Pelodiscus sinensis: one gene and its partner. The protein of the gene in region 1 purifies or fractionates together with the protein of each later gene. This does not show direct contact. Links are inferred from orthologs where the notes say so. Each region holds a gene or a part of one and is shown on either strand. Other genes may lie near its edges. The genes, in order: TMEM192 and LAMP2.

Region 1 (15,744 bases):
AAGAAAACCTTTCCCACTAATGTAGGTGTTAGAGAAGAAACAGCCGGCTCAGGAGCAGATGGGGGTAAACAGCCCACGTACATTTACCTTGGACATTCCACACAATGTGTGAATCACCAAAACTGCCAAGTAAAGGCAGTTTTAAAAAAATATTTAAGAAAGGGACCAGGAGGTGTGGAGGCTAGTTTAATAGACCACTCTCCTTGCTAAATTGGTAGAGTAAGTGAGAGGAAAAAATGGCAGGGGCCAGCCAGTTCAGCACAGTGACTTGAGGCAAAGGAGGATGCAAGCGCAGACTTCCTGACAAGGGCTGGAGAATGGCATTGCCACTGATACTGGCGAATGATCTGAGGGCAGGTGAATCATGGGCCTGAAGGGACATACCTTTTCGATTCTGGATCAAGCTTGAATTTAGCAACTGGCCCAGCCCTGAAGAGTGGGTGCAGAATACAATTTGAAGGGACTACGGGAGGCCAGAGATGGGGAAAACAAGCAACTTGGATTATTTATACCCTCAAAAGGGAGAAGCTGTGTGTCAGGTTTGTGAGAGAAAACAAACCATTGCCTCCATTACTCTGCTCTGTCCACCCCATTTCTTCTCTAACAATAGGAAGCATTGGTGCTACAGTAACATACTAGCAGTGTAGGAGCTTGTGATGCTGTAGTATACATATGGCCTAAATAATTAAAAGTTGGAGTATCTGGAGAAAAGCCAAGGGGATGAGACCTTTTAAACTCCTTCCATTTTGCAGTTATGGAATACATCGCTTGGCAACTCTCTCCACACATGCACATGATCACTCTTTACATGCAAATGAGTAGAGTCCTGCAAGTGTGCCTTGGCAGATATTTGCAACTCATTTTTACAGATACAAATGTGGATGTATCTGTGCAGAACTCTAGAAATGAGGAAGTCTGTTTCATAATGATCAGAGGGTCTACTCTGTATTCTTCCCCACCCCAGCCTTTTTTGTAAAACGGGCCTTATGTGACTGCTTTTCTCCTACATGATTATCCTTTGCTCTTAAGTTCTCAAGTTTGACTGCAAAGTCAAGATCAGAAGCCTACACACAGTGTAAGCAGTGCAGATTCTTATTACTATATGAAGCATATAGTGCCTTCAGAATGCAGGTCAGCCAATAGCAGTCCTATTGCTTCATGGTTATATTCAAGACATCTTAACAGCAAACACTTCACCAGAAACAGAGGAAAATGACTAGTGGACAAATGCAAGATATCCAGTCAGTGCTACTATTTCCAAATTTATTTCAACTCAAAGAGTTCTAGCCTCCTGCTCCACTGACAAACAAGTTTGGAGGTTTGTACTCAACTATTAAGCATAGCACTCAAACTGGTGTGGCACACCTTAGATGAAGAATTCAAAAAGCACAGATAGAATAGTTCAGTTCACAATGTTTGTTCATACAAAATCCACGAAGAACAAAATTCAAAAAAGTTCATCTCACCTGTAGAATGTATTAAGAGTGGCAGCCTTTTAAGATTTCTTGTTGATCGGTAGATCTTGAGGTATCCTCTGCTTCTGACTTTACTGTGATGATGCTGAACATATCGTTCAAAGAGAACATGCAAAAGCCACAGAATTACCTTTGCAATGATTATGACACTTTGCACCTTAAGTGGGTTGGTGTAGTTTCCAGGGCACACATCTTCAACTGGGTGTGCAGAAGAACAATATATACCTGCTAAAAATGATAAGACAACAAAAGCAACCTGTGAAAGAAAGTAGACAGACCTTAATATTAGTAGTTACAGTGTAAGCAATATTACCTTAATCTTTTTACTTACTATGCCTCATTTTTTGGATTGGTTCAAATGAAAGAAAAAAAATCTACTGCAATTTTCTAGAAGATACTTCATCTTTGTACAAAAAATATATCATGCTACTTCTTCCTGGAAAGAACACAGAAATTTGTTCTGCCTTTTCTGCATCATTACTAAATTTTACCTCCTCTATCTAATCATGGACCAGTATCACTGCTAGGATTTTCTGTCCCTAGCATACAGTAAGGATAAGAAGGGTACTTATTGTCCTTAGCCTTACCAGTGATGGATTTTCCCCCCACGTCTTTAGCTTCCCTTATTGTACACATTTAATGATTTCTAATTTATCATCAGCCATATATATTTTTTTATATCTATTATATATGATGAAGAGTTAGTTTGTAGAAAATAATGTAATACTTCGCGATTACCTACAGATACCCAATTTTGCATCATCAATCCTGCCATTTAAGTTAACCAAATGCACTACTTTTTACACTGGAATATGCTTGGTGAAAGGTTTAATTATTTTTGTTTTTCATGTAAAAAAAAAAATGGTGAGAAAAATTCAGATGGATGTGTGCTTGAGAACACCAGCTAAAGCCTATCAAAGAGAAGCACTATTTCAATGCTTGTAGTTACCAACATGACAAGTTTAGGGCACGACTACATACCAAAATAACACCAACTAAATTGACATTATGCACTCTTGAATTGGTTTAAAGGGTCTTTACACTAGGGGGTTGCTCAAACGTAGCAAAGTCCATTTTAAGAAACAGGTTTTGATGATGTAGTTTGTATGCCTTTGGAACATCACCACCACCACCACCCCCATTAACATTTCAGAGTGGGAAGGGTATTGAAGATGTAACATTAATGCATTGTCAACATCAGATCTACCCAAACTCTATTAAACATACTGATACAGTTATATGAGTGCAAGTTGCTTACATATGAGATCTGAAGACTTTTTCTAACCTGAGAAGAGCTAAGACACTTATTTACTAGGTTTTAGAACTAGTTGAGCATTGACAAAGCTAAGTTCACAGGAAATAACTATAAATAATAAACCAAAAATTTAGACTGGATTAGTCTTTAATATCAAGTATTGCTAAATTTAAAAAACTCACAAAAAAACAAACAACTCTGCACAAAAGAGTAAGTGCAGCAATGCTTTCTTGGTCCTGAAGCCATATCCCAATTTAACTGGGATTCTATAACTCACATTATCCGATACACTCAAGTCAAGCGACTTCTTATCTGACTAGATTACCTGCCATATCCATGCGACTTGGAAGTTGGCAGTGTTGGGACAGAAAACTTAAACACAAGGTATGAGGAGTATGCAACAAAAGTCACTGCTCTCCTTACTCACAATCCATGCTTTAGGTCCAGTGCATTACAGCTGGGGAACCAGAATTTCCCATTATCTCCTCATACTCAAGTTAATTAAAATCTGAGGGTACTTTAAAATAAATAAAAAAACACTTACATGTAGAAGCAACAGAAAATTGGCAACTAAGACTGTCGGAATAGCATGGAATCTCGGACTCAGTTGTGAATGCAATTCATGAGGTGGAAGAAGTGGTGCATCAAGTAGAGGATCATCTTCTGTGCTCTGGGTTACCTCCAGGGAACCCTGAAATTTAAACATGGATTTAAGATTACTTTTCCCCACACTTTTTTTACATTTCTCCTTCAATGACTGTTTACAAGGCACACCATCTTTCTGTACCAAACTACAGGCAGTCCCTGACTTACGCGGATCCGACTTACGTGTACTCCAGGGCGAGAAAAGCTGCTTCGCATCTCCCTGGTCTGCAGACCAGGAAGACGCGGAGCAAAGCCGCGGAGGGGCTGGGGCTGCGGGGCAGCCCAGGCGCACCTGGGCTGTCCCACCACCCGCTTTCCCGGAGCCCCAGCCCCCCTGTGGCTTTGCAAAGCCGCCGGGGAAGCCGGCAGCGGGACAGCCCAGGCGCGCCTGGGCTGTCCCGCTGCAGGCGTGCTCCAAGGCTTTGCTCCCCGTCTCCCTGCAGACCAGAGAGACGGGGAGCAAAGCTGCGGAGCACGCCCACAGGGGGACAGCTCAAGCGCCCGGGCTGTCCCGCTGCGGGCGTGCTCCAAGGCTTTGCTCCCCGTCTCCCTGCAGACCAGCAAAGTCGCTGGACACCCCCAGCAGACCAGGGACACCCGAGCAAAGCCGCCCAGGCAGCGGGACTTGTGTAAACAGGCAACCACTAGAAGTTTCAGCAGTTCCAAGCTCGCGGTTCGGCGAGCCCTGCTTATTAGAAATTACTGTTCTTATTCTTATTAGGAATTTATGCCATTAAAAAAAACGAGTCCTTTTTGTTTGGCGAGTAAGATTTTCCATAATTTGTCGAGCCCTGCTAATAAATGAGCATACCCCAGAGTATTGGGCAAGTCTGGTAACACCGGGCTACAAGACAACACAGATCCTGAAGTCTTAGCAGTAGGATCTGGAACACCAACACCATAGAAAGAATCTAGAATCCAATTGCTCTTCACCAGGGATCTCAAACTCTTTGCCCCCAGGCTATCCCTGGGCAGAGGAATTATGCAATCCAGCCAGTGAGTCCAGGCAAGGGTGTGTGTGTGTGGGGGGGGGTGTCTCTGTCTTATCAGCCCCCGAGTTCCTCCCATACGCACCACTGCCCCATCCTTTTCCCCCACCCCATGGCACCCTGTGCCCTCCCAAGACATGGCTTCAGGGAACACCGCAGGGGGCTAGGAGGGCTGGTGTTGCACAACTGGTCAGGGCCTGTCACTCTCCCTACAATCATGTGGGGGTGGGGAGGAGGGAAGGAAGAGGCAACATGGTGACAAGAAGGGGCACAGCTTGGGGCCTGGTAATTGGTAGTTCCCCCGCCGCCAAGCCCACTGGGACTCCCAGACCAGATTGTGCAATTGCTCAGGCCATAAGTGGCCCACATATGGGAGTTTGAGATCGCTTCCCTTTCTAAAAAATTCTCCCCTCCCCCATCCTTCTCTAGTAGATTCTGGTGTCATCCCCCTTATAACTCTACATTAAGATAACCAAAGGTAGGCTTCTGCAGCCACCTTCTCAAAAAGTAACACTTTTAAATAGCTAAGTGGCCACCTGGGTCCTACAGCTGACTGTATGGTTGGCCATCAACAAAACCACCACAATCTAGGCTGCAATTTTAGATCAAGCACTTGTGACTCTCACGTGACTGAAACATGTCTCCACCTTACCCTAGTGAAACTAGTTTCCCCAAGCACAGCATCACAAGTTAAGTGTCTCCACAATGCATCTAAAAATAGTGTCGTGTATTCCTGTTCCTCTTCCCATTTCTGCTACAGAAGTCGTCTGAGTGCATGCACGTGCTATGAAACGAAGACCAGGAACCTATGACTTCTAGTGGCACACAGGCTGTCAGACAGAAATCTGTGTCACCTTTCAGGAAGGCCTCAGAGCTGCAGCACAACATGGTAATAAAATCCAACAGATTTCTTGGGTCCAATAACCTCATCCTTCACGTATTATTGCAATGTTTCAGTAATGGATCTCCTAGCCTTCATGGAAGACATGAGATATTCCCAGAGAGCCTTAGAAGGTACACATGCTGCTGAAAATACACAAGCTTTGAGAGATCCCTGACATCACACTCTCCTAATCTGATTATCTCATCCAAAGGAAGTAAAATACTTATCAGGAAAGTGACCAAACAAAGCTGGTCTGTCCCTTAAGACACCTGAACTCCCTTGGTTTTCAACTCATCTAAGTATAAGGCCACATTCAACAAGCTTATCCATTCACCCCAAACCCTCTACAACCCAGAAAATCCCCAAGGTTCACAGATTAAGTACAGAGGAAACATGTTAGAAAGCCTTTGATGCAAAGAAAAAAAATGCATACACAATACTCTGAATTCTTCTGCCAATAGTGCAAAAGTTCCTTACTTGATTGCATCACTGCCACAAAGGTGGCAAAGCAAGCTGCTGCAATCAACAAGGCAGAATCCCAACAAATTTAACTATTTTGTTTGGTCAACTCTCAAGTCAACTCATATCCAAGCATCAAAGAAGGAGAGGTCAACATACTTCATTAATAAGGACTCAAGTGCATATGGAGCTAACTGGCATAAAAACACCAGTCTAACCAGATTGTATTATGTACTCAAGTATTCTCAATTACCATGCTGCTTCCTAGCCTCCTATTCCTACAATATAAAAGCACTTGTACTACAATAAACAGGGATGTTGTGTAAATTACATCAGAAGTGGCAAATATTCACCTTTCACTAGCAGCCAACTGTTGACTAAAAGAAGTGTCATTTTCTAAGTCTCATGTGAAAAACAAATATACCTAAAATATGCACCATTTCCCTCCCTCTTACCAGCACTAATCCATAACCAACCTATGTTTCTCAGAATCAGACAATCTTTTCTACTGTACTGGGGACAGTATGTTTGGATTTTAAATGAATGACTAAATCCAATAGCTTCCAAGATATCCTGGTTACATTGGAACCTGCCAGAACACGAATCACTATACTGCAGACTTATTGAGGCCTGGTTTCTAGGTCAAAGCAGAAGAGACCAATGCATGGAAGTCACATGCGTGGCTTTCTACTGCAGTTCTGCTTTCAACAAAAGCATCTCTTTACACTAGTTCTAGTTACTCATATCAGATTCCCAGCTTCCAAAACCCCTCCAGCCATATTTCCATGCCAAAAATCAGACATTACTAGGTGTTGTTTGCACAGACGCTGCATCTGGATAGCCAAGTGCAGATATTATAGCAGCTTGTACTTTTAAGGTCAATATCCCTTGTGTATTAAATAGAGAACTTAAGTTTCATAGCCATGCTACTTCCTCAAGTCCTTCTTAAAAAAAGTAACAAACAAGTTTTGTGCATATAATCATCTATAATTTGGGTGCAGAGGAAGGCGGTTACTTGAATATATGCAGTGAAGTTGCTTTTGTGATTTATCTTTGTCTTTCCCACACATATACACACATGCGTACACAATCCAGCCAGAAAGGTGGCATACTACAAATGATATTAATTGAAAAATAATGTCAAAACAGTAGTGTTTAAAAAAAAACAAATAGGATTCCTTATTAAAGCCCACAGACAAGATATTATGCAGGAACGTAAATAAAACCAATTTTCAGAATGAGTTTTAAATTGACAATTTTTGACATTTATCGTAACTACAACGTCTCTTTACAAGAACTCATTTCATCCACCCCTAAAGTTATCTTTTAGGTCTATCTTTTAGGTCTACCCAATTTTGATGACCCACCTCAGGTCATGAATTTCAATTCGTTAGGGAGTCCCTTCTCCCGTTCATCCCCACAGGCCTCTTGAACAGGGTGTGCTGAGCACTGAGGAGCAAAGCAAACACAAAACCCCAAATAGAAGAATTTTCTGTTGAATAAACATTGGAAGCAATTGTATATATAATAAACACATCGGTTTGGCTTTTAGGCTGCCTTTTGTTTTCCAACACATCAATTTTAAAAGAAGCACGCACGCCCTTGGACCCACTTTGTCACTTGTTTCTCCAGTCATTTAAAAAACTTTAAAAAACGGGGCGAGGGGGGGGAAAGGAAGCACAACAGTACAGTAACATACTAATAGAGATGCAGCTGTGTTAGTCTGGTCTAGCTGAAACAAAAGAGCTTCCCCAATTATCACCCCTATGTCATTACCTCACAGACACTAACCTTCCCCCTTCACCCCTCCTCTGTTCTTAAACCAGATTCGTCAATTTTATATGTGTTCATTTTTTGTTAGATTGTATCCTTTGGTATATATGGTCGTGCCAATTTTCTTCCACTACTTGATGTGAGCAAGTGGGTCTGGCCCACGAAAGCTCATCACCTAATAAACCATCTTGTTAGTCTTTAAAGTGCTGCCTAGTCCTGTCTTTCCTAACATACTAAAGCCATGTTTCTTATTATAAGCATATTCATCTTGCTTTAAAAAAAAACCCCAACTCTCTTTTGCGAGTAGAATTACGCGTCTGACAGGGCAGCTAGGGAAACTGAGGCACAGAGCTGTTGGCTCTAGGAATGCCGCCTAAGGAGAAGCCAGTGCAGGGCCAGCCCGGAGAGGACCCAGCTCCACGACTTCCCACGCAGAACCCCCACCCCCCCCCTAAAGTGCGAAGGACGGACACAGCCAAACCATTTCAACCTGCGTCTCCCCTGCGAGCCCAGGACGCTGAGCGGCGCTCCCGCCCGGCGCGTGCAGGCGGCTGCCTGACACCCGAGCACAGCGCGAGCCCCCGGCGCGGGCTGCACAGGCCGCCCCCCCGGGCACCCCGCTGCTCACGTTCTCCAGCTCCCGCTGCGCTCCCGCCGCCATCGCCCCCCGCCGTCGCCGTCGCCAGCTCTATTAATGGGCGGCTCCCCTGCCCCAGCGGGAGCGGCCTCCCGGCGCGACCCAGGCCTCGCCCCGCCTCTACCGGCCTGAAGCGAGCGCTCCGCCCCCACCTCCGCCTGCCCCTCCCCTCAGCGCCTGCTCCCTGCAAGCCGCTGGTAGCGGCTCTCGCCTGGCTGGCACACGGGGGAGCGGGGCTGCAGCGGGCTGTTTGTCTGTGCGACGCCCTGTGACTGGCTGGGAGGTTTGCCGGCCGTTCGAGCCAGCGCACTGTTATCATTGGGGATCGTACCGTAGCCCCGGCCTCTGCTGCTTGCTGTACAAACGGGAGAAGAGGCCTCGACACCTCCCCCAAAACCAAAGCAACCCCCACCAGTGTTAAGCTCCCATTAAGGGAAACGGCTCAACATTGCGCTGTGGCAGGGCTGGTTTCAGCGGGGTGGGTCTATCGGCATCCGTGGCACCATGGATGTCAAACCCAAGGGGTGACCAGACCCCTCCTGTCAGGTTGCAAAGCTTGATACCAGGAAGCGAGTTGAGTTCTGCCCTTCAGTAGAGGGGTTGTTGTCCAACTCCCCACCCCGTCCTCTCTACACCAGGCTGAGATTAGGGGTGCAGAGAAGGAGTGGTTCAGGGGATTTTCTATGCCCTCCCTTTACTACAAGATAGGGAAGGGCCCACATTGAACCAGGACGCTACATCTATTCTAGCCCAGCTCAGTCACCTGCAAGGAGGAATGTGCCTTCTCATTTTTCACTAGAGGACAAATCTACTGCTAAGTGTAGCATGGCCACCAGTGGGGCAGATACTCTTATCAAATATCCTCTTTTGCTGAACGTGTGTGTAGCGCACAGACTCCTTTCTACAACCCCAATTATATCCCTGCTGCAATATGACCTGTCACTAGCGGATTCCTCCGTGCTTCCTGAGTATGATACAATCCCACTTGCTTGCATGGGTTGATAGGCAAGGAGGTGAAAGCATTGATAGTTACAACACAGTTACAACAGCAGTGCACATTTCTTTGCCAACATGCGTATTGTGGAGCAACCAGAACTACTACTTTCAGGTGTCATTAAATTTCTGCTGAGGCAGCTAATAAGGAGTTCTCTAAGGATTCCAAGTCGTGCCAATTATTTTTGGGTTCTTGGGACTTTGGGTGCTTTTATATTGGTGTAAATGTTCATTCTTTCAGTTCATTATTGAGATATCAAATCAATATGGGGTTTAAGCTTTTCCAAGAAAGGGATTATCTCAATGTAATGATGCACTTTTCTAAACTGATTTAGTGAAAGGGTTACAACTTTTGTTGGCAGATAAGACCCAAGGCATCCTAAAATTGCTCTGACAGTAGCAAATGTAAATGTAACTTATCTCTACCGTAAATTAGTATATATAACCCGTGCACGTGAATTACCCGCACCCGTGCATAACCCATGGTTTTTCCTGATTGTTTAAACAAAGTTTTAGATAACCAGCGCACATGTATAGCCCACAGGAGATGAACCACAGGTACTGTTAATGAACAGCACCTGTAATGAAGTGTTAATAAACCGCAGCTGATAACGCTGGGTTCATGCACAGAGAGAGAACAAACAGGCGGTATCAACGGTAGCTATACAGCTCAAGGCTTGTTTGACTTATGGCTATAGAACAGAAAATCTATGATTTTAATGGGGGCTCGGGAAATTGGGTGTACAAATTTATGCGGAGAAACCATGTCAGTTTGCACACGGACATCTGTTGGCCAATGGCTTCCCAATGAATGGGAGAAGAACATGGATGATTTTAAAACTTTTGTACATAAAGAAATTAACCAGCTGGGCTTGAAACCAGAAATCACCGCCGTTATTATTAAATTAAAATATGCTGCTTTTATTAAGCAAGAGTTAGTTAATTTCTGTGTTTAAAAAAAAAAAAAACTTGTATAACACCTGAACGAGGTGGGGAATGGGAATTGTAAAATCTTGCATAACCAGAGGGTTATATATGCTAAAAGATGGTACTTTAATGCCTTTTTTTTTTTTTGCTGCCTGGTGGTGTGAAGAGGCCTTAGTGCAAATGAGAGTCTTCATATCAAATCTATTTTTATGTTATTACATAGTTGGCAGCTGGTACTGTTCTTTTTAATTGTTTGGCTTTTTATATTGCAATCTTATACTGATAAATTCAAAGTAAGCTCAGATCCTCACTGGTATTTAGGCAGGCACCTAACTCCTATTCACATCAGGGGGAATTAGGCAACTTTGAGGATCTGGGCCTGAGAATCTGCAGATGGAATCTAACTAGTGCAGTGGTCTTCAACCTTTCTGTGCCCAGGATCACTTTTTGAATGTAAGCTCAGGATCTTCCCTGCTCCTTCCTCCAAGTTCTGCCCCACTCATTCCATCCTCCCTGTCCAGCACTCACTCACCCTCACTTACTTTCATCCAGCTGGGGCCATGGGTTGGAGTTACAGAGGGTGTGTGGGCTCTGGGCTGGGACGGAGGGGCTTAGGGGCAGGAGAGGTACATGGTGTTGGCTCTGACAGGGAGACAGGGCTGGGGCAGGGGTCATGGGTGGTGGATATAATAGGTCAGGAAAGGAAACCACCAGCCATGGCCCTGCCCACACTTCCCCCCCAGAACATTGTGCTGAAGCAGTAGGCATTCTGGATGTGCAGTACTGCTGCCCCCGGGCATCAGCTGTGCTGTGGTTCGTGACACAAGCAATGAGCCTTCCCCATGCTCTGGAGCTGGTGATGCTGGAGCTGTGCACCACTCATCCACCCTCTCCCTCCCGCTGTGATGCTTGGAGCTGAGGAGGCTTGGGCTGCATGCTTCCAGCCCTTCCCATGGTGCTCAGGGCAGAGATTCTAGGGCAGGGGTGGCCAACCTAAACCCAAGAAGGAGCCCGAATATACCAATGCACGTTGCCAAAGAGCAACAGTTATATGTCACCAGCCCTGATTATCTCCCAACCACCACTCTCAGCACATCCCGCCCATGGGCAGACCCACTGGTCAGTGCCGCCTTTTCCTTTTCCTCCTGTCCACTGTGATCAGCTCTTTCTCCGTGGAAAACACTGGAGGGGGTGAAGCATGGGTGTGACAGGCTCAGTGGAGAGGGTGGGAAGTGGCAGGATCCTAGGGGGGAAAGGATGGAGGGGGACAGCACTTAGGACAGAGCTGGGGGTCCAGCCCAGTGGAAAGTAGGCACTTGCAGCTCCAGCGCTGGATTTGGTACCTACACAAGGAGCCACATATTAACTTCTGAAAAGCAGCATATGGCTCTGGAGCCACAAGTTGGCCACCCGTGTGCTAGGGCCACATTGTCCGGTGCTCCAGGATGTGTGACCATGCTACCCAGTGCTGGGCGGCAGGTGGGTGGGTGGGGGAAATTTAGCATGGGGCAAGGGCCAGTGTACAGAATGGGTTGGGAGTGTGGGGCAGCAGCCATTGTGCAGGCTGTACTGCGGTGGGCATGAATGGGCGGGACCTTGGGCAGAAGGGGCAGAGCTGGGGAGCTAGAACCACCCACAGCAGGGGTGCAGGTGGGGATGTGGGTTGCTGGCTCTGAGAGGAAGATTTGATCTGGGGGAGGGAGTATGGGGGTTAGGAGGAAGTATGGGGTGCTGGCTCTAGGAAGAGGCTGGAAATTGGGCTGAGGCAGACTTCCTGCCTTCCCTGACCCCACACCAATCCTGGAAGGGGCCTCCCTTTCTGCTAGCACCACTCCCTCAGCATTGGCCACGGTTCCCCATTCCTAGCTAATGGGCACCACCAGTAGAAACAAAACACCGAGACATCTATATAGTTTCGAAGTGTGCATCTGTCTGTCTGTCCCTCTGTGAGTCTGTTTCTTCAAGAACTCCTTCTGAATGGTGAGAGCTAGGACCACCAAATTTGGTATGTGGCTTCATCTTATCCTAATTTAAAGCACAGTAAGGGTTTGGTTGTGCCAAGAAAACAGAAAGTGCTGGGAATGGAACTGTTTTCCATAACATGGAAAGGGAAGGCCAGAAAGAGCGGGGATGCAATATGAAAGAGGCCACTGGGGACAGTAAGCCCACAGGGTAGAACTATACTGCAGAGTGACTACTAGGGAGGTAGTCTTGTATTCAACTCGCATTTCTTCTCTCCCTGTTGCTGCCTCTGTATCACAGGCAGTAAGGGGGATGGGGGCAGGGGAAAGCAGGAGCAGGTGCTTGGGGGAGCCAGCTTTAAAGTGGGTTCCCCCAAGCACCGTCTCTGCAGTGCCACCTTCTCCTTCCCCGCTGCTGCCTCTATCAGAATGGAGCAGAGGAGGCTGCCCAGGCTCTTCATGAGCAGAGGCTGCTCCACAGGACTGTGGTGGGTCCCAGCAGGGACCTGGGACTTCCGCTGACAGGGGCTGCTGCCGCAAAGCAGCCGCTGTCCAGAGTGGCCCAGGCTGGCTGTGAACACAAGCTGCTCCGGCAGCAGCCCCTGTCAGCAGCGGGGTAGGGGGGAGGTCCCAGTTCCTCGCTGCTGGACCTGGTGTGAGCCAGGATTGAGCTGGGCTTGCTCAGTCCTGGCTCATTCTGAGTTGGGGACCTATCCCTGCTGAGGCTCTGCAGTTTAAATGTAGTAGGAGCCAGGCTGCCAGCATGCCTGGCTCCTACTACATTTAAACTGCAGAGCCACAGCAGGGTGTAGCTCCTGGACCTGGTGCAAGCTGGGACTGAACGACTTCCCTTACTGACTAATCGTGTAGTCGATACAAATTGTATCGACTACACAGTTAGCCAATTATCCGCCGCTTAACATCCTTAATGACTACTGGGGGCATCCGCAACACCAAGAGAGTTAGGACTGGTGGCTGAAGGGAGTGAATATGCCTTGCCAGTTCTGGGCAAACTGTACAGACTATCCAAATGCAGAGGCACTACCCCGGAGGCCATCTAGAGACCTTACAAGTTCCAGATGAAGGAGGGGAGCTGGAGATTCATCAGTGAGTGGAGACACTTAGGCTACGTCTACACTGGCGTGTTCTCACGCAAAAACTCTTTTGCAGAAGAATTCTTCTGCAAAAACTCTTCCAGAAAAGACCGACTACATTGGCATGTGCTTTTGCGCAAGAGATGTGCTTTTGCGCAGGAGCATCCATGCCAGTGTAGATGCTCTCTTGCGCAAGAAAACTCTGATGGCCATTTTAACCATAGGGCTTTCTTGCGCAAGAAATTCATGTTGCCTGTCTACACTGGCCTCTTCTGGAAGAGCTCTTGTGCAAGAGGGCTTATTCCTGAGCAGGAGTGTCAGAGTTCTCGCACAAGAAGCCCTGATTTTATACATTAGAACATAAGTTTACTTGCACAAGAACACACGGCGAGTGTAGACAGGAAGTAAGTTTTTGCACAAGAGCGGCCGCTTTTGCGTGAGATCGTACCTTTGTAGACACAGCCCAATAGTAGGAAGAAACTCAGGGACAGCAATGGCTACAGGGTGAGTGAGCTTACACTGGAGAGTCAGCAAGTTGCTGCTTGAATTTTCCCTGCTGACTCAGTGGCTTGAGGAAGCCACAAACAGGTCCCTGGGCTGAGGTCCAGTGGAGTGGGAGGGCCTGGACTCCCTGCTGCAGGGGATGTAAAGGTTTCCCTTATCTACTGACCCTTGAGAGATTGACCATTGGGTTACATTCCTCCACAAGGAGGGGCAAGCTATAAACTGGGACTATTGAACTGTGCTGCCTTGCAAATAGGGGCAAGTTCTAGACTTGAACATTTGGGTTGCATTGGGACTATTGAACTGTACTACCTGGCCCATAGGGGCAAGTGAGACTCTGACCACTGGGTCACCCTGCCCTGGGATGAAGGGGTGGGAGTAGACAGACTTTGGAGTGGGAGTTAGAGGCACTGACTGGGGAACCAAAGTGGAGAATATGAGGGTGACAGGTTTGAAACAGACAGTGTCACTTTGTCTAGAAGGAGGCTGTCTCTCTCTCATCATGTGACCATAACGTTTGTGTTTTCTATGCCTATGAAAAGATTTTGGACCTGTTTTAGAGAAGCACAGAGCTCACAGTGGAACAACTTGGATTTGGATTGTAAATTTAATATAGATGTCATCTGAGCTGATGCCGCTGAAGAAGGATGAGAGGTGAGATGATCAAAGAGATTAAGTGGTTTAGCACAGCTGTTCTAAAAGCTATGAACAATGAGTCTGAAAATCTGAGGCCTGATTCTTCACTAGCCTATACAAGTTTTATCACTGTGTAAGTCCAATTTTAATGGAATTAAAATATTTATAGAAACATTTCTTTTTATCCTTGCCTGCTTCAGTAAAAGCTGCTCTTTACTTGGTATACTGTGATACCAAAATGTAACCTTTTACATGTTTCTTTTACAGTGCTTAAGATGAGAATACACCTATAATTCTTTTATGGCAATTCATGTCAGCAGGTAATCAAAATATACTACTAATGCAGTGGCTAAGTAGCTGTCTGTTTTCCAGTGTCAATGCAGTGGAAATTATGTGATACTAGCCCCAGATGGCCAAACATTTAGGATGCGTCTAGACTGGCAAGAAAACTTGCCAGCTGTCTACATTGGCTGCTTGAATTTGCGCAAGAGCACTGACTTTGAAATGTACAAAATCAGTGCTTCTTGCGCAAATACTTTCACGCTCCCGCTTGGGAAAAAGCCCTCTTGCGCAAGAATACTTGCTCAAGAGGGCCAGTGTAGACAGGGAAGAACTGTTTTGCGCAAAAAAGCCCCGATGGCTAAAATGGTGATCGGGGCTTTCTTGCGCAAAATCGCGTCTAGACTGGCCATGGATGCTTTTGCGCTTTTGCAGAAATAATTTTAACGGAAAAACTTTTCCGTTAAAAGTATTTCTGCAAAATCATGCCAGTCTAGACGCAGCCTTAGAGTCTGAGTCTATTCTCTAATTCATTGTTTCCAAAATGGTGTTCCATGGAACTCTGGGGTTCTGCAAAGTGAAAATAAGGGTTCCATGAGAACATTCCATTACAATAACATTTTATGATTTTTAAAAAAATAATATTTAAGCATTTATGAATTTTATTGACAATCATTTTCATTTGTGTTTGCCACGATAAGTGTCCCTGTGTAATGCCAGTTTAGCCACAGAGTGGAGATGATGATGTCACTATTCAGTGCTGCGCGCGCAGTCAATCAATGGTATGATCACCTGTTATATACCACCATAAATCCCCGTACTCACTCTGAGGGAGTGTGGATCATGTGGGTGACTGAATACAAATACACTAGCGCCACGTCAGACAAAGTCGAAGCGTCGGCTCTCAAACCAGTTGCTTCTATGGGAGTGCGCAGGCAGTGGTCTCGCAAACACTTTACTTCAGTATAGTAGCATGATTTTTTGTATTTAAAAATGTAACTGTGACAAATATAAATTGACTATGATAGGTAATCTACATATCATGACCTTGTTTAGCATTTGTTTATTATTTCCCTTACTTATTTGTGGTCTACATTTTCAGCTTCATATATAAGATTGTTATTAGGGGTTCCACAAAATTCTTTAGAGTTTAAAAGGGTTCTGTGGCCAAATAAAATTGGGAAACACTGCTTTAATCTAATGCACACTGCTTCATAATTTGAAGAACCAACTT
Region 2 (16,361 bases), on another chromosome or scaffold:
CCAAGCTACTGGCTTTAAAGGAAAAAAGCTTAATATAAGCCTTTGACAAAAGGTGTCATATACTAAGATGCACACAAAGCATATGAGGCTATTTGTTAGCCACTGCCAAACTGGCCCCCAACAATCAAAATACTGGATATAACAAACAGGCAGTATAACTTGCTTACAGAGGTACCTTAAGATTCAGATATAATCTAGTTTTAGTGATACTTGAATTAGTTGCAGCAGCATATTCAAAAATACCAAGTCAGCTAGTAAATACTCATTAGGAATTGCATTTTTCCTAATGTGTCTGCATCACTGATTTAGTTTCATATCAGCAGTTAGCTCATGATGTGCACAAGGACAAATGCATGTTCATACTAATGTTGTTTCAAGAGTTTAGTCAAGGTAAGTAGCAATTCACGATTTTGCAACATGAAAGTCACATTGGATAGAGCCACCATGCAATTTTAAGCGACTTACCATTTTTACTAACAGTGCCATTTTGAACAAAAGCCTGCAGAGTGACATTCCAGAAGAACTGAGACACATTTGCAACCTCAACAGAGTCCAGGTGATGACATCTGTAGACAGTATTCAGTCGGACTGGATGCAGAGTGTCATTTGCAACAATAGTAATCACTTCTATAAGCAAGAGTACAGTTTAATCTTCATGTGTTTGAGAGAAAAGTTTACAATTTAAGACCGCTAACTGAATTAAATGCAAGGAGCAGAATTCCCATAAATGTAGTTACCTTTAACATCTCTTTGCTATGCATTTCCCTTCAGGTCTACTTTTTCAAGTATTGTAGAGCTAACTAAACAAGTCTTAGAAAATAAACTGCTCATCCCAGCAGGATACTTCCTTTTAAAACTGTTATCAAGGTACAAGAAAGGAATCCAAAGCTACTGCTTTGTTACTAACTGTGCAAGATTCATAATCTTTTTAGTGAAGTGCTGTGAATTGTAAAGATTTGTATTGTAGCACTAGTATTTTTAGAGACTGACCAACTCATTAAAATCAGCAAGCATGTAAAACTTTCCTCATCCATATTGAGAAAGATTCTAGTAGATCACTGCAATTATAAACAGTAACTTGAATCTACAACATTCATAAGAACTGACAAGATGCTCTTATTGGTCTACAACAGTTGTAAGAAAAACAGACCAGGGCAGAGATACGAATAGCTATAAAAACAGTAGCAGTATGGTACACTGCAGTAAACGCTAGTTTTGGTCATGTTCAGCTACATCGCAAGATAAAATCCCACATTTTACCTTTTTTTTTAGCATCTTTAAAGGCTACATCACTGGTATTGTAGGTAAATGTGATGATGTTCCCTCGATAAGTTTCATTTGTCTTAGTAAAGTTTAAACTCCAAGAATGACCTGCTCCAAATTGTATTGCTAGTAGTGGGTCATGTGTCTTATTGCCACAGGTGCTTCCCTTATGCGTTACATTGGTAGATGGTTCTAGAGTTACATTTTTCTAGAAGAGAAAGGTAGTTAATTCAGACAGACATTCCCCTCATTCTGGAGTATTTCCTGGAAAGTCTCAATTCTGTAGAAGTGGAAGCTTCCTATTTGTTTCCATTAGGAAATGTTGTGTGGAACAGCTAACTGAACTCAAAGAAGGGTTAAGAAAGTTACTCCATTATACACATTGTTCTAAAGTTTACCACCACTGGAATTAGAAAAGTGCTGTGTTGGACTCAGAATAGAAGTTGAAAAATCTAGCCAAAGGTCTTATCTTGCCTGCAAGACACTAGCATTTAGATTAGTGGTCTCCAACCTTTTTATTCCTGGTATTTTTCCAAGTGTAAGGACAAACCAAGATGTGCCCCACCTTTCCCTAAGGTCCCACCTCACTCACTCCATCCCCTGCTCTCATTTACTGACTTTTAACAGGGCTGGGGCAGAGGGTTGGGGTTCAAAAGGAGCCGAGTGGTGCTGACTGAGGAGTATCAGAACTAGGGATGTTCTGATACTAGCCTGGTGCTATGTGTGCTGGCTTTTATTCAGGCAGGCAGCTCCCAATGGCCACTTTCTAGCCAGAAACTGGCCAATGGGATTGTGCTGGAAGCAGGGGCAGTACCTGAAGCCTCCGCCCTGGATCAAAGTTTTGCAAGAGAAATGGCCCAGGTGCTGATTTTCTGAGTAGTGTGTGGGGCAAGCAAGGGAGTTTGCCTGGGGCTCCCCACTGCACCCATGGGCTGGATCTAGTGGCTTGGCAGGCCAGATTCAGTCCGCAGGCCATATTTTGTCCAGGCCTGTTCTAAAATAATCTTGTGACCCCTCCTCCTACACACTGCTTTGTGTGTTAGGACCCTTACAATTACATCACCATGAAATGTTAAGTTTAAAAAGGCAAAAATGATGAAGCTTACTATTTTTTTAAATCCCATGACAAACTGACCAAAATGGATCATGAATTTGGTAGGGCCCTAAGCATGACTGAATGGTGTGATTGAGTTTTAGGAAGGACTTAGAAATCAAATATTACAAATATTACAAGATTAGCAGCCTGATACTTAGCCTACTTATTGGAGAAAGAAAATTTTGTTTTGAAGTTTCTCAAGACTGAACATGGAAATGAAATGAATAGTACTTCTAACAGCAGAAGTTAGCATTAAATTCAATACTTACATATTCACTACTGTTTGTTTCATATTTTATCAAGAAGCTCATCATCCATTTTGCATATATGCATGTAGTATTGGAGGAATCTTTCACCTCTACTTCCACTGCATGTGACTGGAAAACCCCTATAATATATACAGTAATTGTTTGCATGTAAGACATTGATACTTCATTTTACAGTGTATTTCACAAATTAATTCACTACAAAATGTTTTAAACAGAGCAAATTCTTTCGGGTTTACATTAATTTTACTAGAGACATGAAGGCTACTTGATTTTCTAATACTAGAATTAGCAACACGATATAACTTCTAGATTTAAGTTAAGTTCTGGAGCTTTTATCTTGTCTTGCTACAAAGTAAAGAACATTTCACACAGACATTTAGCTCAGCAGAATTCACATTTTACGTAAAGGTAGCTAGGAAGCAAGATGTTTAGAAAGTTTGAGCACATTGGAATTTGTACTTGAGATAAGCAGCTTGTCAGATCTTAAGAGGTTATGTCATTAATTCATTTAATTAATATTTGAACACTGAAGAAGTTTTGTATGTCAAGACAGAATTCCCTAAACAAGATGGTAAGAATGGCCGTAAAGAGTCATTATGCTCTGTTTTAGCAACAGATATGACCTAAGGCAGGGCTAGGCAAATTATGGCCTACAGACTGCATGAAGCCCAACAGAGCTTCTGACCCATCCTGTAGGATTACCAGGCCAGTGGCACATTGGGGCTAGGGCCGACTTCCTGCCCCATGCCACTCTCAGAAATCACTGGCACATCCCTGCAGTCCCTGGGAGGAGTGAGGGGGACAACAGGGCTTCATGTGCTGCCCTCACTAGCAGACATCATCCCTGCAGCTCCCATTGGCCAGGAATGGGGAAACTGAACCCCAACTCCAGCCATGAACCCCTTCCTGTGCCCCCAACTCTGCACAAGTCCTACACACATAGCCTGCCACCCACCTTCCCTACCTAGATGTGGCCCTCTGGCCAAAAAGTTTGCTCGCCCCTGAACTAAGGTGGCCTGCAAATTGAGAGTCTGTGGCTCTGTACCTTTCTTAAAATTGTGTTTTAGTTTCTGGACTTTAACCGAAGAGCCTAGTTAGTAAATTTAGTTCCCCTTCTGACTATAGATTGTCAATGCTACAGGTGTTTAAAAGTCTAACTTATGGGCACTTCTTAGTCAGACTTCACTTACTTGGTATCTACATTATATTACTAGCTTACCAGATGACCAGTCTTCCAGAAAAGAGACTAAAAATGCAGGACTTGACCAATAAAAAACAAGCCATTCCACAAAAACCACCACAAACCCTGTTTTAGCAGCATAGATCTCAAGTTTCTTTTCCTACAGAATGCTGAAGATTTTTGACTGAGTTATTCTCAAAGGCATTTTGAGAGAGACAGTATATAAAAAAAAAAATCTAACAGTGGAAACTGGTTCAGCTTGTAGACTCCCTAGCTGCTGACAGGTAAATCAGCTTTGAGACTGGGCTACAATTTGCTATTGTTTCCCAAATATTATCTTTTATATTCAAATGACTACTTAAATCCAGTGATTTAAGTGATAGTGATAGCCAGTGTGTGATAGTGAGTCACACACTATCATTATTGACAAGCTAGAACTGACTTACTCTTATTATGGAAAGTGTAGCACCAAACACCAAGTTTCAGAAGCTTTACTGAAGGAACTTTGAAATATTAAATTGTACTTGTTACCACTACAAATTATTTTTATTTAGAGAGATTATAAATTAGGGAGATTACACTTAGATGCTTTTAGTATAGCAAGTGATTAAGACTCCAGTTTGGTTTATCCAAAAAGTGTAAGTGTTAAGAAATTTTAAATACAAGTGTCGCAATGCATAAGCCAGCTTGCCTATGCATGGTCATTTGTTAATAACGTTTCAGTGTTCAGAAAAAGCCAGTCAAAACTCCAAAAAGTCAGTGTTAGTACTTAAGGGTTTACAGTTTTGATCTACACACTCTACTTTAAAAACCAAAACAAAGTCTGTAATGTACAAGTTTCAAAACAACTTCCACTGGAGAGCACATATGTAAGCATTGACTGAGCTGTAAGGAATTGCGAAACCTGGTCTTAAGCAAGCATTCAAGCTTCCCTACCAGACCTTGTAAGTACTAGTCAGCCCTCAGCTACTTAATACCCCCCCCATTCTTCAGAGAAAAACTTGCGCCTAGTACTAGACATTTTTCTTTAACCTCTCAAAAATGTTGCCTTCACCATGCTCCTGGCCCCTCTACTCTAATATGACAGGCTATCATGCATCTTTGAGCTTAGCAGACTGTACCCATTACAGAGAGAGTCCAAACGCCTCTGCACGTGACCATTACCAGAACTTGTCTCAACAAACTATTTCTAGAGACTGGAAACCTGAATATTGCAGTTATAGAATGCTTCACTTTCGTGTGGGTTTTTTTTTTTTTTTACCATCACATTCAGTAAGGGAGATGCTTAGTGTTGCTCGATAAGAATCGCTACCATTTCCTGCTCTAGATAAGATAGGAGAGCAGTCTTACAGCAAGATGTTAGTAAAAGAAGTCACATGGAAATAAAGTCCAGAGGTATAGACATAAGAGTGGCAGTAATATAAACTTCATAATCTTCACATTATTATATATTAAAGATTATGATAGTTCTTTAAAACCATGGCAGTTATTCAAGACCACAACATGATTTATTAAGACAGTCCAAATTTTCATACGTATTCTACGAGCCACAGAGCACAATGCATGTAGCACTGAAATTACTATCTTCATATTGCCTAATCCTATGCTGCTTTTAAGACAAGACACTCATAGCAAGGACTCGGTTCTATTTTGTGCTGCTGACTTGCTCTGCAGCACCTGAATAAGTCTGCCTCATTTTCATTTTATGAAAAAAAAGCTACTGATGCACCTTCAAATAAAGTAAAGATATTTGAACAAAAGTACAACTGAAGTGCAGCATTCTCCTTTTGTCTTGCAGCTGAACTATTCCAATAAGAAAGAAGAATGACAGCAGAATTTAGAGCAATACCCTATATATGTAAAAAGTGCTCTTCCTGTTACTAACAATTACAAAGGATGTCTGGTTATAGTGGTGGGCCCTATTCAAAATGGAAAGTTGGATAACCTGGTTTTACCTCAAGCCTACATTTTCTAACCCACCCATCACCACCTGCAGAAATAAATTTGAAAACAATGATAACTTCTGATTCCTCTGGGAAAGTAATTTGTTCTGATGTGATGTGGATGCAGCAGAAGCTAGGGTTACCATACATCAAAAGTTTCCAGAAATAGCCTCTTTGAGCCTGCTTTCTCTGGGTGAGAAAAGATTTCAAACATGGGGGGTGGGGAGAAGGCTTGCAGAGCAGGCAAGCTGCAGCTCAGAAACAGCGCTTATTGCTCCCTTCCCTGCATCTGATTTGCCCATTCCCTGCAAGCCACAGCTGCTGGATCCCTCCCACACTCACCCCAGTCCTAGGGGAGGAATCCCAAAGGGCTTGTGCCAGCTGCCCTGCTACACTGACACCAAGTGACACTTTCCTCAACTCCACTGAGTATCCCCCAGGTTTCTTCTTCCCCAAGCATCCTTTATTTTGGGAATCTGGAATACGGTAACACTAGCAGTAGCAAGTGGCGGCACTTACCACTACAAGTTTTGCTGGAATAGCTAGGCCAATGAGAGGTGTGATGAAGTGTGATTTGTGACTGAAATAGCTGTTCTGGCAGAGAAGTATGTCAAAGACCAGACTCCTGATCCAAAAGAGAAGTGCCACTTTGAAAAACACTTCACCTGCTGAGTTGTCTGGTGAAAACCACAGGCTAGCTACTCTCACTTTGGATTAGTTCACCCAGTGTGAAAGGATATTGTGCCAAACGCACCAAATGAAGAATTACTTGCATCCATTAAGGTGTGGGGAAAGATGCCACTTAAAGTTTACCCAGCAGAGTATTACTCCAGCATACTCTGTACAGTTTGGATTTCTACTTGGCTTATTTGGACCTGCAAAACTGTAAAGACCAATTTGGCTACAAGTAAGAACATGTTTTACAGGAGGAGACTCTTGTTCAGGTATTTACAGTTACAGTTTTAGAGTGCTCTTGTGGAATACCCAGTATTTCAAGTAACAATGTTAATCCAACAGCCCAGAAAGCCATCAAAATGCAGTCTGTTGGTCCAAATAAGTTGAGAGATATATGACAAAAAGCTGGCGACTACTCCCCTATCCTTTTTCATTTTATTCTCCTATCCCTCTGGATAACTTAATATTAACCTGACAGCATAATTCTGTAAAAATATCAATACACCAAGGCTGGAAACAGCCTTTTCAACAAGTCAGGATTGCAATTAATTAGAAGAAATCAAATTCAGCACCATTTTCACTTTGCATAGGAGATCACATTGGGAAGACCTAGAGTTAGCACTTCTAGTCCATGTCTGTTCATCCCTATATAATGGTACACACTTCTATCCTAAACAGTAGCAAAAACAAACCTAAAGCCAGTTTGAGTTTGCAGTGAGAGAAAATCCAGGCCTTATAGTACAGAGTCCAAACTGAAATGCCACATTAAACAAAACAAAAAAATGAAGCCGTTAGGTAGACTAGGAAGGATTAAAGAAGCATTTCACAGACACCATGGGTCTGTTTAACACATAGAAGAAGGGAAGACTGGGGGGCAAGGAAGGGAGCACACCCTGGAAAAGAAGAAATGGAGAGTTATGACTGCCCCGAATATCATGTTGGAGCATCTTTACTGTGCTTTTGCCTGAAGCCCAGTTGTGCTCTCAGGGCACCCTCCCAAAGGTGCCAGAAAAGCAGCCACACTTCAGCTCTCACACAAGTGCCAGGAATGCTCACCCCGCCTCCTTCTCAGGGCTACCCCCCAGCACACCCTTGAGGGCCCAGCAGAGCTGGTTTGAGTGCAGGGGACTCATCCCCATCACTCCCAGGGCAAAAACCTCTCCCCGTGGTCTGAGCCTTGCCTCGAGGGACCAAGCTCCGGGACTTGGCGCACCTGCGAGCGAGATCCGCAACGCAACGCCCGGCCCCCAGCAGCCATCGCCCACTGCGCAGACATGACCCCCCCGCCCCTCCAAAACACATTCGCGCTACACGCAGGAGCCCCCCCCAAAGTCCACCCCCACCCGCACAGAGCGCCCCTACGCGCAGAAAGCCCGCGCCCACAGCCCCTGCACTTATCCCGGGGCACCCCCACCCCTTCAGAGAGCTCCCCAGAGCGCCCCCCTCCGCACAGCCCCGCCCCCAGAGCGCCCCCCCCAGAGCGTCCCCGCCCCCAGAGCGCCCCCCTCCTCACAACCCCGCCCCCAGAGCGCCCCCCCCTCAGAGCGTCCCCGCCCCCAGAGCGCCCCCCTCCGCACAGCCCCCCCCAGAGCGTCCCCGCCCCCAGAGCGCCCCCCTCCTCACAACCCCGCCCCCAGAGCGCCCCCCCCTCAGAGCGTCCCCGCCCCCAGAGCGCCCCCCCTCAGAGCGTCCCCGCCCCCCCCGGCATGACCCCTCCCGAGGGACTCGCCCCCCCCGCCCGCAGGCTGCGGAGCCAGCCGCCGCCGAGCACTCACCGGGGCCGCCGAGCACCAGGAGCAGGAGGCAGCCGCAGGTAAGGCTGAGGGGCCGCGACCAAGAGCAGCGCGTCGCCATGCTCACCAGCGTTGGGGCTCTGCGTGACGAACGGGCGGGCGCAGTGAAAGCGCAAGGCCGGTCATATGAAGGGGAGGAGCCCTCGGCGGGCAACCAATCACAGAGGCGCCTCACCCCACCATTAATTTTATGGGTCACAGGCATAGTCGAATTTATAACTAAGGCGGGCGGGCGGCAAACTAAGGGTCCAATATAAGACTAAGGGGACATCTGAGAATAAGGGGGAAAAAGGTCTACATCAGCGGTTCCCAAACGTTTGTGCTAGGGACCCCTTTCACACAGCAAGCAACTGCGTGCGACCTACCTTATACATTGAAAACACTTTTTAATATTTTAACACCAGACCATTTCCCAGAATGACATGAGGGGAAACTAAGTTGTGGTGCCCGTGTTAGAAAGTGCTGAAGAACTTTTTCTCTAAGAATTTCTAGTGCTAGAATAGCGGGATCTGAGGAAGTGGGTCTGGCCCACGAAAGCTCATCATCTAATAAACCATCTTGTTAGTCTTTAAAGTGCTACATTGTCCTGCATTTTGCTTCAACTACCCCAGACTAACACAGCTACATTTCTATCAGAATAGCGGGAGGGACTAGAACGGGACAAGGAGCCCACTGATACGGGACTAAAGAGGTGGAGGGAGAGAAACTGACTAAGTGTGGGGGGGGGGGACTGGGAGCAGAGGAAAGAAGTGGGAATTAGGAACTAGTTGACTGGGAGGGTGGACAAGGTGTGGGCGAGTTTGGGACAAGGAAACCGGGAAGGGGAGACAATTGAGGGAATCAGGAAGTGGGTGGGTAAACAGATTACACTGAGATTAGAGTCGTCGTCCTGGGAATGAGACTGGTCAGAGAGCTAGAAGGGAAGGGAAAGGAGGAGGCATGGAGACTGTGGACAAGAAGTTGCGGTGGGTGGGTGGAAATAATAGGCATTTGGTACTGGCTGTGGAAAGGGGAAAATTGGGAGTCAAACAAATGATTTGGAGTAGAAGACTCAGACTGGGTGGGTTTGTGGATGCTAGCAAGATGGGAGGAGTTTCAAGTACTTTTTAGAATTTTAATTCAAAGTGATCTCAACAAACTGGATATATGGTCTGAGGTAAACATAGGATGAACTTCAATAAGGGCAAATGAAAAGTACTCCACTTAGGAAGGAACAATCAGTTGCACACATACAAAATAGGAAATGATGGTCTAGGAAGGAGTACTGCAGAAAGGGATGGGGCAGCCATAGTGGATGGCAAGCTAAATGTGAGTCAATAATGTGACACTGTTACAAAAAAAGCAAACATCACCTAACTTCACATGCCTTTGCTTCACTTTAGTAATGCCAGCACGAAAAAAATTCTATGCAGACAGAAAATAGCAGAATCTGGCAACCCTGCCCATGGGCAACAGTAAACTCAAGTCTCATGGGCCACACAGATCCCCAATTGGCTGCATGCAGCCCAAGGGCCACAGGTTGCCCACCACTAGTGTAGATGATGCTTGGTTCTGTCATGAGTGCAAAGGACTGGACTTGATGACCTCTCGAGGTCCCTTCCAGTCTTATGAGTCTATAAAAAGTGAGTGGGACTGGGATGAGAAGCCAGAGTTATGGAGGCTGGACCTGGGTAGATAAGGAGCCAAGAAAGGAGAGAGACAGGACCAGGACAGGTAGAAGGGCATGAGCAGACAGTGTCAGTCTTGGTGAAAACAGGCAGAACACTTCCCTCCAGAGCCTAAAATAGAACTCAGGATTCCTGAATCTCAATATATCTCTGCTGTCAACAAATATCCAGGAAACACACTGGCAAAGTGTGTGTCCCATCCACCCCCTTGTGTGGGTCAGCCTTCTAGAGCAGTGTTTCTGAAAGCGTTCTGCGAAATCACTTTCAGAAACACATTAACTGGACGCCCCAGTTTGTTTATTTACTGGTGCTGCAGCCACAGAGCCTTGTGGCTCCCATTCACTCCGTTTTGTGCTTTGCAGCCAAGGGGAGCTGCAGGAAGTCGAGGTCCAGCTTTCAGGATCATGAACTGTGATCTCTCAGGCACATAGGACCATTTGCAGGAAGCAGTTTGAATATCAAAACAGAGACCTTCAACTAGACTATGATTGTAATTAACCTGGAGCCACTAAAGAAAGGGGGTCATTTGGTTAATATATGTGTAGCAGTCTGTGTTCTGGAATGCTCCTTTTTTTTAAATCAATTGGAGCTTTACTTCAGGGCCTTTGGATTAATTCCTAAATGCATGTGAATTTAAATGTTTCCTTGTGACATTTGTATTCTACACGACAGCCTTTACTTAGTACATCAGAACCAGAACGTGAGCAGGACCAGGAATTCAGCAGAAACTAAAATGAACCTGATAACAGCCTGTTTTATTGTCTGAGTTTAGCAGATTCATAGAAGTGACCAAATAGATTATTAAAACTTAACAAATGTTAAGAAGATTTGCTTATCACCAAATATGCCAGGGTATGATTAGAAACAGGTAAGGGATTTCTTAACATATATCTCATTTTTAACCTACCACTGCCCCCTTAACAGTGTCTCCTTTAATTTTAAGAACGCCCTTTGTAAGACTGACTGTGATGTCACCTCATCTCATTATGAGCTTATCACGTGCATTTGTGCATTATCATTTGTGCATTCTGAGGTTGGCTGAAACTGCTTCTTAGTATGTCCTGTTGGCTGTTTCAAGCAAGAGAAAAATGAGACAGTTCAAGCCTGAGAATTGTGGGATAGATAATTTTGCTCACCCAACTGAAGGGCCCAATCCTGCTCCCAATGAGGTCAGTGGCAAAACTTGCATTAAAGTAAGTGGGAGAGGGAACAGGATTTAATTTGTCTTAATAAAAATGACAAGCCCACACACAGTACAAAAATACAGACTGTGTCTTAGTTAACTTATTTTCCTGTCACACTCTGAAACAAGAGATACTGATGGCTGCTCTGGGTCTGTGGTTGCAAATTTCTGTTAGTTGTAGTGATAATGATGAGACAGCCCCATGGGAAAATCTCTGTAGGTCCCAGCTCCTAAATGTAGAGTCTGGGAGGACCTCTGTAAGCCTGGCCTGTGGAAACACAGGGATAGATTCTACCCTGGTGTAAATTAATGCAAGCTCCAGTGAGGCTAATGGAGTTGTGTCCAGAGATGAATTTGGTCTGCAGTATTCAGGGCTTTCACTTACCATTCAGCACCATTTAAGTGTTGGGTATAGTCTGGAACAGCGGACATTTGCATATTCTAAACAGCATCTTCATTCTCTCTCTCACTCATCTGACTCTAGCTATCTTGATCCTACTAGCAATGGCTGGGTTTCAAGGCATTCTCTCTGGCCCCAAAAGGGCTGGTATGGAGTCTGCATGACAGTTCTTTCTGGCAAGTCCCAAACCTTTCCCCACCACCGTGGAAGGGACAAAATAAATCCTCCCTTTAACAAAAACTGTCAGGTTGATTTTGTAAACCCACACCCATTTTTATTCCTCAAGCATGATGGCAAGGTTTATTGGTGAGGGTCAGACTTAGGGTGCCTATCCGGAAAGGTGCAGAACACTTTCTCGGCCTGCTGAAGGGAATAGGAATCGAGGACCTTACAGGATCCAGCCTTTGATGAGTACTTACTCTTAATTCTGTTTATTACCCTGGTGTCTAAGAGCCAATCAAGACTAGTTCTTTATTGTACCAAGTACTAACAGAGCAGCACAGTACATGCCCCAAAGGATTTACAATCCAAATCGACAAGACATAACAGAGTGAAGGAATGCATAGAATACATCAGCAGAATGAAGACTGCGATAGCAGCAAATGGCATGTTAGAGCTGTGATTTTTTTTTTTTGGGGGGGGGGAGGGTTTAATAACAAAGAGAAGATAAGCTGAAGGGAAAGGGACAAAGGAGATAAGGTAGGGAAGAAGAGGCTCAGGATGAAAAGACTCTGTGGAGGGATGAGGAGGTTGGAGCAGCCAGGCTATCTAATCAAAACTATAAAAAGTTCTTGGAATGTCCCAAGATCGCTGCTTTGGCTTGCATTTATGGTTGCCAACCCTCTAGGAATGTCCTGGAGCCTCCGAAAATTCGATATTAATCTTTCATTAAATATCACATGAAACCTCCAGGAATGTGTCCAATCAAAATTGATAAACCTACTTTTCTTACCAGCTGGAGTTTCTGGCTGATTCCTCTGCAATTTTCTTAGAAGGTGATATAGGGGTGGGGGGAAGGAACAAGCCTAGTGGCTCCAACATGAATAGTTTTCTTCTTGATTTGATGACATTGGTGGTGAATCCCATTGACTTTAGACATCAAGGCTCAGGCCTATATGATCAATTATTTACAACCAAGGAGTAGGGGATAGCAGATGAGGAGTAAGTAAAAAAATTGCATTTGACTGTATCGAGAAAGACTTCATGTGCATTTGGTATGATTTAGGGAAGTCCTGGTTGATGGCCACTTGATCCAGATTTAATGAGACATTTCCCATTGGGACAGTGTGATTTGAAATTAACAAATGGGATATTTCTATGTGGCAGTGCATTTGTGCTCCATGATGTATTGAATTTTCAGAATGGAGGTTTGGAACATCCTACCAAATGTTCAGAAGATTTTGGCTGCGTCTAGACTGGCAAGTTTTTCCGCTTGATTTTGCGCAAAAGCACTGACGTTCTACTGTCCGAAATCAGTGCTTCTTGTTCAAATGCTTTGACGTTCCTGTTCGGGCAAAAGCCCTTTTCCAGAAAGGTTTTTGCGCAAGAGTAGACAGTGTAGACAGCTAAAAACTGTTTTGCGCAAAAAAGCCCCAATGGCGAAGGGGCTTTCTTGCGCAAAACCGCATCTAGATTGGCACAGACGCTTTTCCACAAAAAGTGAAAAGCGTCCGTGCCAATCTAGACGTTCTTGTCTGCAAATGCATTTGTGGAAAATCATGCCGGTCTAGACGTAGCCATACAGTTCTAGTGTTGGAATATACAAGCCGCCAGTAAAGGAGAGATAATATACATGAAATGCAATGGTTATCACAGTTATCCTGGTAAGTTTAGTCATTTGATTTGACTTTTACTTTAAGCCTCTTCTGCCTAGAGCTAATCCTGGCATACAAAAAACAAAACAATAACAAGGAGTCTGTACCCTGGAAGGGAAAAGAAAGAGGGGATTATGGATATGCACAATAGAGAGACATCAGACACAGACACCTCTGCATTATTGCAGCCACTTCAGGAATATTTCTTTTCCCATTGAGGCCAAATTCGTGGTTCAGTATGCAGGCTATGCAATGTGGATTTGGCTATCGTCTGGACAACAGCTTAATCAAGATCAGATAATATCCACTAGGATGTTACCATTATGAGGATTCTGCATGAAAGCATTAGCTTTTTAACATTAGGAAAAAAATTAGATCTTGAAAGGTCTGGACTGCCATATTGGTATATTTAAAGCAATTTCTTAATAACCATAGTAGTAAGTAATGTAGATTGTCTGAAAGAGGCAGGAACAGTCAACCACACAAATTCAAATCACCTTAATGAAAATGATTAGTCAAGACTCTGGCTGTCACCTGATGCATTTTAATGAGAAACTACATCATGCTGCACAAAAAACAAAAACCCACAAAAAAACCTCAAAACACCAAAACCCCAAACTTCCAGCAAAAAGGAACAGGCTCAGAAGTAGAATTTTTCTGAAACTATGGGGACATGATTTGTGAGAGCTGACTAGAATGATAAGGGTGTGTGTGTGTCAGACAATATTTCAACATGGGGAGCTGTATAACTGAGTAATCAGTAGCTGATCCTTTTAAACTTGATTGCATTACCTGTCTGATTCTCCTTGAGGCCATAGCGATTTATTATCAGTCTTTAAATAAAATGGCACCCAGGTCTTGTGATTCGTTCATGTCTTTTTCAGCATCAGTTTCAGTATAGATCTGTTCTGGGCACAGCATGTTTATAGAGTTAGGATGTGAAAACCTGTGATTAGGATAACCATGTAATCGCTGAACATTTCAGCGGTTACACGCTTACCCAGGCTGTGAGCTCTGCAGTACAGGCAGTCCCCGGGTTACGTACAAGATAGGGACTGTAGGTTTGTTCTTAAGTTGAATCTGTATGTAAGTCGGAACTGGCGTCAGCCGCTGCTGAAACTGATCAGTTTCAACCGCGGCTGAATCTGGATGCCAGTTCTGACTTACATACAGATTCAACTTAAGAAACCCAGGCGTCCCCAAGTCAGCTGCCTGGGCTTCCTGTAGTCAGCCGCTGGTCAGTTTCAGCAGTGGCTGACGCCTGGGGCAGAGCAGCTAGGGTGCTGCTGGGTTGCTCCAGTAGCGCGGCTCCTTGGCTGTACTGGAGCAACCCAGCAGCACCCCAGCTGCTCTGCCCCAGGCGTCCTGATTCAGCCGCTGCTGAAACTGACCAGCAGCAGCTGAATCAGGACGCCTGGGGCAGAGCAGCTGGGGTGCTGCCGGGTTGGTCCGGAGCGGTGCTGTGGGACCAACCCAGCAGCCCCCAGATGCTCTACCCCAGGGGTAGGCAAGAAAAGCCTGGTCTGCACGCTGGAGACAGCGATGGAGGGTGCTGGCTTCTCTGCAGCGAGGGAAAGTGATTAGTATGGGAGGGCAGGTTCCAGGGTGAGTCAGAAATGAGGGGTTCAGGATGTAGATGGGAAGATAGTGTGCGAGAGGGTGAGGGCTCCAGCTGGGGGTGCAGGCTTTGGGGCAGGGCCAGGGATGAGTTTTTTGGGGTGCAGGAGTGGGGCTCCAGAATGGGGCTGAGGGGTTCAGAGTGTGGAGATAGAGTGGGGTTGGTCTTGGAGAGGGAGTTTGGATGTGAAAGGAGGTGTGGTGGATGGGCTCTGGGAAGGAGTTTGGGTGCAGGAGGGGGCTTAGGGCAAGGGGTAGGGCACTAGATCCAAGCAGTACTCACCTTGGGCAATCTCCACAAGTGACAACATGCCCTTGCTGCTACGACTTGGAGGCACAACTAGGCAGCTATGTGCATTGCTTCTGTCTGCAGGCACCTTCCCCCTCCCCCCGTTTCCATTGGTTGTGACTCCTGGCTAATGGGAACTGCACAGCTAGCACTCAGGGTGAGGTGGAGCACAGGCAGCACATGGACTCCACATAGCTCTTCCTTCTTGAGGACAGCATTTCTCAAATGTGGCCACAGGGGCTTTTCTTGCTACCACAGCCTCCTGCCTGGTGATGGGAGTGGGAACAATGCAGTGGCTTTGGGGCTTTGCCGGGGGGCAGGACCCAATTGTGGAACCCCAAAGTTGGATGAAAAAGCATCCAGGGAGCTGCCCACCTTCCTGGGGCTGGTGCAGTCAGGATTCAGGTCTAAAATGGCAGGCTGTATCCACGTGGCTTCTCCAGGCTCTGTGCTCTGGCTAAGAGGTGGTAGGATCTGACCCAAAGTTTATCATGCCTCCATACCAACCTACCCATCTAAGGCTTAAGTTGTCTTTAGGCTTCCTGAGGCAGAGTAAGTCTGCTGTGAAAAAAAAAAAAAAAAAAAAGATATTTGTATGTTTGTTAATATTATTTTTCCACAGTAAACTTAGTGGCTAGCAAGTCTAAAAAAATAACCTAAAAAGCAAAAGAAACATCTAGGAAGGGGGGGGGGGGGGAAAAATGGCTGTGCAAAGCATCTTGTGTTTCTATTTTGTTTAGGTCCTGTAAAAAATAGGGACAGCTGTACATTATTTTTAAGTTTGGAAAAAATCCTACGTAAATAGTATATATCTTTCTCATTACCTTACTAGAAGACTTACCCAGTGTTGCTCGGGTCTTTCAGGGCAGGAGGTCGGTGAGTGTAGGAGTCAAGGTTGGGGGCAGTGAGGAGGTTTTCAGAGTGTGGGAGCTCCCTGGGAACGGCTCAGGGCAGCAGATGCTCTGCAGGGGCTGCATGGTAGGGGCCAGCCTGGGGTGGGTGGTGGATGTGCTGCCAGTTGTACTCCTGGGGTAGCCAGTGGCAAGGATTGTGTTCCTGGCCAGCAGCTGCTCCCATGGTCATTCTGTGTTACAATTGTCCCATATGCTTGCTGCCCCCTTGTGATCATTCATAAGTATAACTGTTGCTGCTGTCTCGCCTCCTCCCTTTCC

The links.
Region 2: the proteins of TMEM192 (region 1) and LAMP2 purify together in Homo sapiens (affinity purification with western blotting; 5 studies listed by BioGRID and IntAct, with this or other methods). This does not show direct contact. The link is inferred for Pelodiscus sinensis from reciprocal best matches to the Homo sapiens genes TMEM192 and LAMP2.

The regions. Positions count from the first base shown.
Region 1 is NC_134715.1:63,163,045-63,178,788, forward strand, and holds the start of TMEM192 (transmembrane protein 192), read right to left. Parts: upstream 8,265-15,744; 5' UTR 8,141-8,264; coding exon 8,108-8,140; intron 3,422-8,107; coding exon 3,275-3,421; intron 1,732-3,274; coding exon 1,467-1,731; intron 1-1,466.
Region 2 is NC_134723.1:33,824,565-33,840,925, reverse strand, and holds the start of LAMP2 (lysosome-associated membrane glycoprotein 2), read right to left. Parts: upstream 8,360-16,361; 5' UTR 8,281-8,359; coding exon 8,202-8,280; intron 2,748-8,201; coding exon 2,629-2,747; intron 1,472-2,628; coding exon 1,261-1,471; intron 628-1,260; coding exon 466-627; intron 1-465. UniProt on the Homo sapiens protein: Lysosomal membrane glycoprotein which plays an important role in lysosome biogenesis, lysosomal pH regulation and autophagy.